Callithrix jacchus: one gene and its partner. The main gene of each other region encodes a partner of the protein of the gene in region 2 in a complex. Links are inferred from orthologs where the notes say so. Each region holds a gene or a part of one and is shown on either strand. Other genes may lie near its edges. The genes, in order: PALS1 and CRB1.

Evidence for each region.
Region 1: the proteins of CRB1 (region 2) and PALS1 are in contact, whole or in part, in a crystal structure (PDB 4UU5), measured with the Homo sapiens proteins. The link is inferred for Callithrix jacchus from reciprocal best matches to the Homo sapiens genes CRB1 and PALS1. Residues at the interface, in NP_957705.1 of Homo sapiens: Ala1401, Met1402, Glu1403, Arg1404, Leu1405, Ile1406; in NP_071919.2 of Homo sapiens: Lys261, Pro266, Leu267, Gly268, Ala269, Thr270, Val271, Arg272, Asn273, Ser281, Arg282, Val284, Val314, Asn315, Val317, Phe318, Leu321.

Annotation. Positions count from the first base shown.
Region 1 is NC_133509.1:102,221,038-102,225,560, forward strand, and holds the start of PALS1 (protein PALS1), read left to right. Parts: upstream 1-1,457; 5' UTR 1,458-1,595; exon of another isoform or gene 1,596-1,715; intron 1,716-4,523. UniProt on the Homo sapiens protein: Plays a role in tight junction biogenesis and in the establishment of cell polarity in epithelial cells.
Region 2 is NC_133520.1:24,126,829-24,131,274, reverse strand, and holds the start of CRB1 (protein crumbs homolog 1), read right to left. Parts: upstream 3,095-4,446; 5' UTR 2,945-3,094; coding exon 2,875-2,944; intron 1-2,874. UniProt on the Homo sapiens protein: Plays a role in photoreceptor morphogenesis in the retina. May maintain cell polarization and adhesion.

The DNA of each region.
Region 1 (4,523 bases), on a different chromosome or scaffold from region 2:
CAGCCTGGGTGACAAGAGTAAAACTCCGTCTCAAACAAAAACAAACGAACAAACAAAATAACTTAGAAAACAAAGTAAGTCACACACACTAACCATTTTTTCTTTTGGGGTATGGCTAATGGTTTCTAGGAATCCTGGAGACAGACTTTATCCGGATTTCAGTTGGGCATTTCACCAGTTCTCACTGCATCTTTGTGGAGGAATACGGGCCAAGAAGACATTTTGGTTGTGCTGTCCATCTGTACTCAAAGCCTTCGGAGAAATTTTTGAAGGCAGGAGTATTAAAGTCTTTAGAGGCATGTAGCAGAGCTCTGTCCTCGGCTCTGTGTTACTAAACACTTGGACAGAATGCTGATCAGATTTGAGAAAGATAACAAATCTGGGAAGGGTAGGCATCCCGAAGATCTTCACCACCAGGAGCAATGGTTTGCTTCGTTCAGGGCATCACTGTGTCCCTAAGGAGGTACACTAACAACCCATAGGCTGTCCAGAAGAGCGTAATGGGGAAGAATGTGAAAGAACTTGAAAGTCAGGATCTGGGGAGATTGCAAAATGGAAAAATACGGTGGGGCAAAATGAAGAAAATCGTGAGAAATAGCATATCCGCAGGCTTTGAGGGAGGACTGTGCCCCTGGGGGAAATTGTGGCCCTGGGCTGGAGTCATAGGCAGATTTTGGCCTCATAGAAGGAGAGGTCGATTAACAAACCCTGCACGTGTTCGAAGGTGGGATGGGGTTCCTCGGAAGGTACTGTCAAGGCAGAGACCAACCGATGGCTTTACTGGAAGTGTCAAGACACATTTGCTGGCATTTCTCCTTAGAACGTACTCCAATCTGTTCTGACTTCCTCCCGAACCCGCCTGAGTCCTGCCCATTTCAAGGGTGGCACATCCAGGTCCCGAGGGCGCCAGCCGTGCCTGGGGCATGGGCTGGCCTGCGTAACTCTCTGTCCCTTCAGGAGACCTCTGGGAAATAGCTCTAGCCCTTGCCATCCTTGCTTTCTGGTTTTCAGAAGTCAGCGCAGCTGCTGGCTTTCTGGAGTCTTCTGCGGGACAGTGCACACATCCAGGTGTTTACGTCATTTTTTTTTTTTAAACAAATGTTAGATTGTGTGACTAACTTGACAGAACACGAGGAATACCTTCAAGAATCATATTTTCGTCAGAAACCGTCATCCAGAAACAGAAGAGCCAAGGGCTGTAAAGCCCCAGGGAAGCCTTAGCGTCTACACCACAGAACCCGCCCGCTAAACCCCGGAGGGGCTCCTCAGGGCCAGTCAGCCCCCAGCTGTTCGCGTTTTAGACTTGGAGGCGCGCCAGTGCGCGCACCCGGCGGGAACTGAGGAGACGACCAATGAACGGGCGCTCTCTCCGCACCGGCTAGGGATTGGGCGAGCCGCTACAGCCTCTCATGGGAGGGGTGGGACTGGGACCCGTGTGCCCGCTGAGCCAGAGTCCCGGGGGCGCGTGCGCGGTCTCGCGGCGGCCGCAGGGGCCGGTCTCGCGCGGTCTAGAGGTGGAGTTGCTGGCGGCTGCGGCGGCGGCGGCGGCGGCGACGGCGGAGGCTGGCTGTGGGGCGGGGTCTAAGGATTCTGAGGTGAGGAGTCCGGAGTTTCTGGATTCTTTATCCGGTATTTTAAGGGCCGCCGGAGGGCTGTCGCTTCGGCAGTGCTTCGGAGCGGCCGGGGCGGGAGGCTAGCGGAGCCGGGGCGCGGAGGTAAGAGGCGGATTGGTGGCGGCTGGGCTGTGGAGATCTTAATCAACAGGTCTCCGGCAGCGCGGCGGGGGAGGGGCGGTCGGACTCCCCCTCCCCCACACGCCGTGCAAACTCCGGCGGGCTGGGGACCCCCGGCCGCCAGGCGGTCTTCCTCAGGCGCGGGAGCCGTGGCCGTGGAGGGTGTGAACCCACCCTTTGTCCCTCGGAGTAACGCTGCCGGCGCGGTGCCCGCTCCTTCTCCTTGGCCGGTCATGCACCTTGGCGCGGGCCACAGCCTGCCCGGCCGGAGGTGCGTGGGGCGCCGCGGGCAGTGGTCTTCCCCCTGCGCCCCCGCCCGGAGGTCGCGACGAGCTGGATTCTCCCGGCCGGGTGGGGGAGATCGCCTAGGGAACGCTTTCCTTTGGAAGTCGGAAAGTAGTCAGCGTCCCTCTGCCTGACTCAGCTGCTGGTATTCTGCTACTCATTGCGTTCTTAAACACGCAAACAGTTCCTGCTTCCTTGTGACCACTTTTAAATAAAAGCCTAATTTTGTTAATGGTTTCTGATAATATAAGTTTGCACATTGAACTTTGAAGCCTGTAAATTGTAATCTACGTTTATTGAAGGTTGGATTAAACGATCTTTGTAGTAAATAATATAACTTTCTAAAGATAATAACTCACCTGTTTACTTGATTGATATACAGTAATGTGTTTGGAATGTAGGTTTCGGTCGAAAGGTTTTTCTTGACAGTTTATGCTAAAATTAAAATCTGATGGCTAGGAAGTTTTTAGATGTGGTATGTAGTGTGTGTTTTGTCTCCATACTCGTTTACAATAGTAAGAATTTAGATTTGGAAAGTCAGTTGAACAAAAATTTTGAAATTTTGATTTGACTGACACAGTGAAAGGTGTTAATATTTCTGATTTTAAAAATATGTTTTAATGATGGTTTACTAATTATGCTTTTGGATTATACAGGAGGTTAATTACCTGTTAAATTCTGCAATAGGAACAAATGACGTGTTGGTTATTGGTGTCTTTGAAGTATTGGTGGTCATGAAAGTTACTAAATAAGCTTTCTTGAATTATGAACTACCAATTTTTTTTTTACTAGGTCCCCGTGGACATAGTGTATTGTGGATAGGTTTTGTAGGCTTTCTATTTGCAGCAGGATGAGCTATTAAATTATAATGTAAGAGATTTATAGATGAAACAGGCAAAAATAGGAAAAGCAATTCATTATTTTATCTTTAAAAATCTAGTAAATTTGGCCGGGTGCGGTGTCTGACGCCTATAATCCCAGCCCTTTGGGAGGCCGATGCGGGTGAATTATTTGAGGTCCAGTGTTCGAGACCAGCCTGGTCAACAGGGCAAAACCCCATCTCTACTAAAAATACAAAAAATTAGCCGGGTGTGGTGGTATAGGCCTGTAATTTCAGCTACTCGAGTGGCTGAGGCAGGAGAATTGCTTGAACCCAGGAGATGGAGGTTGCAGTGAGCTGAGATCACCCCACTGCACTCCAGTCTGTGCAACAGAGAGAGACTGTCTCAAAAAAAAAAAAAAATCGGCAGGGCACGGTGGCTCAAGCCTGTAATCCCAGCACTTTGGGAGGCCAAGGCAGGTGGATCATGAGATCGAGACCATCCTGGTCAAAATGGTGAAACCCCGTGTCTACTAAAGATACAAAAAATTAGCTGGGCATGGTGGCGTGTGCCTGTAGTCCCAGCTACTCGGGAGGCTGAGGCAGGAGAATTGCCTGAACCCAGGAGGTGGAGGTTGCGGTAAGCCGAGATCGCGCTCTTGCACTCCAGCCTGGGTAACAAGAGCGAAACTCCCGTCTCAAAAAAAAAAAAAAACGAGTAAACTTTAGCAGGTATCTGAATGATTTTTGGCTAGACAGACTTGAACTTGACAAGTAAAGGTGGATTAACATTAATTTGTTTTAGAATGTTAAAGCAGACAATATGTAAGTTCTACCTCAGGGTGACCCAAGTCAGTACAGTGGGTTTAGTTTTTACATGATCTAGAATTATAATCTTGATTAAAAATCTCAATTCAGGGGCACATGTTCTCAGGATCTCCTGAGGGCTATGTCATGAAAAAATTTAAATAAAATTTTATCAGACATTCCAAGAAATTTGATTAATTTTATGTAATACTGAGATTCCCTGTTTCTCTGATATTTTCTGATTTCAGGGTGTCTAGAAAAGATAGTATCTTGACATATGTGCTTTAGAATATAATTTTCTTTTCTTTTTGTGAGACAGAGTCTTGCTCTGTCGGCCAGGCTGGAGTGAAGTGGTGTGATCTGGGCTCACTGCAGTCTTCACTTCCTGGGTTAAAGCGATTCTTCTACCTCAGCCTCCTGAGTAGCTGTTCACCACACCCTGCTAATTTTCATATTTTTATTGGAGACAGGGTTTGGCCATGTTGGCCAGGCTAGCCTCGAACTCCTGACCTCAGGTGATCCACCTACCTTGACCTCCCAAAGTTCTGGGATTACAGGCACAAGCCATTGCTAGAATATAATTTTTTATCATATTCTTACTGAATCATAGGATCGTTGAGTTGGAAGTAATCTTAGTGGTTATATAGTCTAACCTCTTCATTTTTCATGAAAAAGAGAGGCTTGCAGGAGTTAAGTAATCCATAGTCTGACTGCTAGTAAGTGGCAGACTTGGAGCTACATGCATATACTAAAATACTTGTCTCCATATTCTATGTTCAGTGCACGTCTCAGGATGTCTTAGTGTTAAAACAGCAAGTTGTCTTCTCCAAATCGCTTAACAGGCAGGGTTGATTCTTTCTCTCATGCATTTGTTCCTT
Region 2 (4,446 bases):
AAATGCCACTGCAAGGTATTAACCTGCATAGTGAATACCAAAGTTTTCAGTGTTTCTACACATGCCGAATTTTAAGAATATGTGATTACTCCCTAACGAATAATCAACCTTCTCTGACCTATTAAGCAAATTCAATTATTTATTAATACTGGAATTAAGATTGAATAAGCCGGACCACATTTAATCTTTATAGGTTCTATTTGTTCTTCATTCTTTTGGGTATATTAGAAAGAAAGTACTTTTAAAAATTACTCCATTCAAATCAGTGACTTAGTAATTGCTACGAGTTTTCAGAAGATTGAATGCTACCCCAAACTCTTTGACGTTGTTCTAGGAACTCTAATAGTAATTTTATCAAACCACATTTTATTTACATGCTATGACCAAACTTTAAATATAGATTAAAACAGTTACTTTTAAATTAATCTAGATGTGGTATTTAGATTGTCAATGTTTAGTTAACTCCCAAATTTATAAAGGACTAGAGAAAGAAACATTGCTTTTCTAATTCACAGTATGGTAGTTTCTGTAAAACCCTTCACAACAGATTTGTATATCAAGGTCCCAAAAAGTTCATTATGGAGTACTCTTATTATTTAAAACAATCTCTGAATAATGGACCACAGGAGAGTCTCTTTCTAATAAGTTTCTCTTTTAGTACATCAGAAGCAAAAAATAATAGCTCCTTTTGAATTAGTAAAACTTAGCTGGTCTCACACATTAGAACAAGTTTTGCAAAATGATGGAACAGGTATGAAAACCATCAGGACAAATTCATTGCAACTTCAAGTTAGAAGAATGTCTACCTGCTCAGGAACAGAAAGTGAATGTCACTTCCTGAATGCTGCTCTAATATTCTTCATGTCATGTATCCTCAACTGGAACACATAAAGGGCATTAGACAAAACATAAACAGCATTCCCCCGGTAGCTGAGCAAGGCAGAACTCTAGATCAAAAATACAATATGGAGCTGGAGGTGATTATTTTATCTTAAATTTAAGGGAACATGTTTCAAAGTTCAAAAGGAAGAATCATTAATTCCCTCAGTTAATATGGTATTAACAACTGAAATTTATTTTTCCCTTTCTTTTCATGTTTTGAGACAGAGTGTAGCTCTGTCGCCCAGGCTGGAGTGCAGTGGCAGGATCACAGCTTACTGCAGCCTCCACCTCCCTGGTTCAAGCAATCCTCCCACCTCAGCCTCCCTACTAGCCGATTGCCAACAAATATATTAACATGGACAAAAGTCTACCTGCTTAAAAATAGAAGAAAATGAGACTTCAAATTTACTTTTTAAGATAAATAAAAATACTGTACTGTAGAATAAATCAAATAATTACAAAGTATTTAGAAATACTTTATATATACAAATAATTACAAAGTATCTATCAATAAATACAAATGATTACAATCATTTTACAATAATTACTATCAGAAATACAAATAATTACAAAGTATCAATCGATAAAATCACCTACTCAAAGAGAGCAAAAACAAATGATGTATATGTAATTATCGATGTATAGTTATTATACTCAATTAAAGATATTATATATTCATTTCCTTTAAAACAGACTGCAGCAAACTCTAGGAATTTTCATATATATTGCATTGAATGACAAAGCTGTTTGCCATAAACTACATCATAAATTCACTTCACATTCATTTTATATCTTATATCTTTTTTCTCATTTCTTATTTCTCCTACCTGCACAACTAAACACACCACTTCTCTTCCTCATTTCACATTATCTGGGGCCCACTTTAAGTTTCAAGGAGGGTAAATAAGTACTAAAAGAACAACTCTTTGACAAGTATATCTCTGAAAAAAAAATCCTTTGTGCATGTGTGTTGCAGTCAAGTATTTCACTGTTCATTTGTTAAAGTCTGACTTGGTTTCTCTGTACTTGCCTTCCGCTACCTACCCAGGGCATTTACTTATTTCTTCACCCAAACTCTGATATATGTTCAGCTATAAACTGTGCTAGTAACAATCTCACTGGTACAGCCACAGAAGTTGACCCAGATTACACAACACTGTGTGCTAACGCCAAGTTGTCTTGTTCAACGACAGCTGCTCTATGCTTTGCCTTATTGATATTCAGATTCAACAGACACAAATCACATGGCCCCTTTAACATGCACATACTCTCCCTGTCTTCATTTTAAACGTGTTCAATAGCTACTGTCCTTCATAAACACACAGCTGGGGCCGTTTGGTCTCCTCTGATTTTCCATCCTGCCATAGAACTGACAAGATTATCCCAGAAACATTGTTCTTGTTACTATTTGGGGAAGTTCATGAAAAATAACATCTTCATTTATAAAACAGAAGCACCTAACAGTAAAAGCCCATTTCTCTGGTGAAAGAAACACTTTGAACCATTACTTTTTGGGAAACACTGAGACTATCCCCCTGATTATGAGAGCAAATGTTGCAATACAGAGTTATTTTAAAGTGAAGATAACTATATAGAATGTGGGAATAAAATGAAATATAGCTCATGAATAACTTTCTTTTAAAGGATATCAATTAGCAAGTGCCAAATCTATTCTGTAGAAGTGTAAACACAACAAAATATCTTCTTTTCTATGTGACCATTTCATTCTCCAGCTCACTACTACAAAAGCTAAAAACAAAATTTCTGCCCATGAATGCCTATTGGAAATCACAGAATCTTAAAATTGACTGTTCACATAGACTGGTATCACTGATTTTTTTTAACACAGAACACTTAAAAAAACAAATAAAAACTTCCTTTTTTAGCATTGTATTTTACAGAACATGCAACATGATCCGTTATTTGTAAGAAATATAAGCCAGAAATAAACCAGGAAAAATGCCCAAAGTTCAAGACACGGGAAAGGCTTACTTTTTATGTAGATGAGCAGTGAGAAACTGAGGTAGAAGATAAGAAGGTACTTAATGTTCTTAAGTGCCATGGTCGTCCTCAGAGAACATCCTCTGATGTGTTGTTGCTGGTCTGGTCTGGTCTGTCTCCTGAGGCCAGTCCGTCTCAGAGAGGAGCAGGTGCCTCAGAACTCCCAGGTGCCATCTCTGTCCCACCCCACTACGGCTCCTTCACAGAAAACACAGGGACTTAGATTCAAAAAGCAGTTTGTGCTTCTTAGCATCACTTACGCTGGAGAATGGGGTGATTTTTCAAACCTGGTGCAGATTTTTTTCAGGCTGGATTGGATTCATCCCCACCTCAAGCCTTTGATACGAGTTTTCTTCTGTTAATGCTGGCTCCTCCAAAGGTCCTACATTAGGATAGTGTCTTCAATTGCTCTCAACAGAGGGATTAATTTCTGATAACTGTCTTGCCACACAATTATGATCTGGCAACTTTTAAAGGAATACCGTATGTTCCTATGTATTTACTTTCATCTTCAGAACACAATTCACAGACATTTTTTTCTGTTTATAAATTATATTCCCACAACTCAGATTTCTGTTGTTTATAAGCTGTGCCAAGATAGACGAAAACTTAAACTACTGCATAAAATGAACAGAGTTCTGGAGATCATTTAAGGGCAGATTTTGTCCATAAACCCAGAGCTCATTTTATTCTCGGTTCATGAAATTACATGCTCTGGGATTTCTTGAGCTTTAGTTTTACCATAATTGATGAATGCGAACATGTTTGCTTATATAGAAAATATATTTCTTTTAAATACAACAATATTTTTCTCAGATTAAATTGTTCAAGTTCTTAAAATTGTATTTTTATTAGATACTTCATGAAAACATCCATTCTTTAAAATCTGAATGCTAGCCTGTAATCCCAGCACTTTGGGAGGCCGAGGCGGGGGATCACGAGGTCAGGAGATCGAGACCATCCTGGTCAACATGGTGAAACCCCGTCTCTACTAAAAAATATATACAAAAAATTAGCTGGGCATGGTGCGCGTGCCTGTAATCCCAGCTCCTCAGGAGGCTGAGGCAGGAGAATTGCCTGAACCCAGGAGGCGGAGGTTGCCGTGAGCCGAGATCGCGCCATTGCACTCCAGCCTGGGTAACAAGAGCGAAACACGGTCTCAAAAAAAAAAAAAAAAAAAAAAATCTGAATGCTTTCTTCTCTAAGTGGTGTTAGTGATAGTACAGAGCCTTTTTCCATTGTTAAAACTGCTCACTTGTTACAGTTTAAAATGCAATTTCTGTGGCTGTTACAAAGCTTTATAAATCTGCCAGCTTTTTAAACTATATAACGTATAGTTTGAAGTCTTTATATTTTCTGCCCATGTATCTAATATTGTGATAATCAGCTTAATGTCTTTTATCAATATTATTCTCTCACATACTCCCAGATTTACTTGCTAGAGTTTAGCCATTTAAAATTATTTAAATTTTATAGAATTCATGACAATTATTATTTTTAAAAAATTTTCTTCTTCTCATGCAAATAATTTAACTCGGGCAATTTTTAACAATTAGAGTCAAA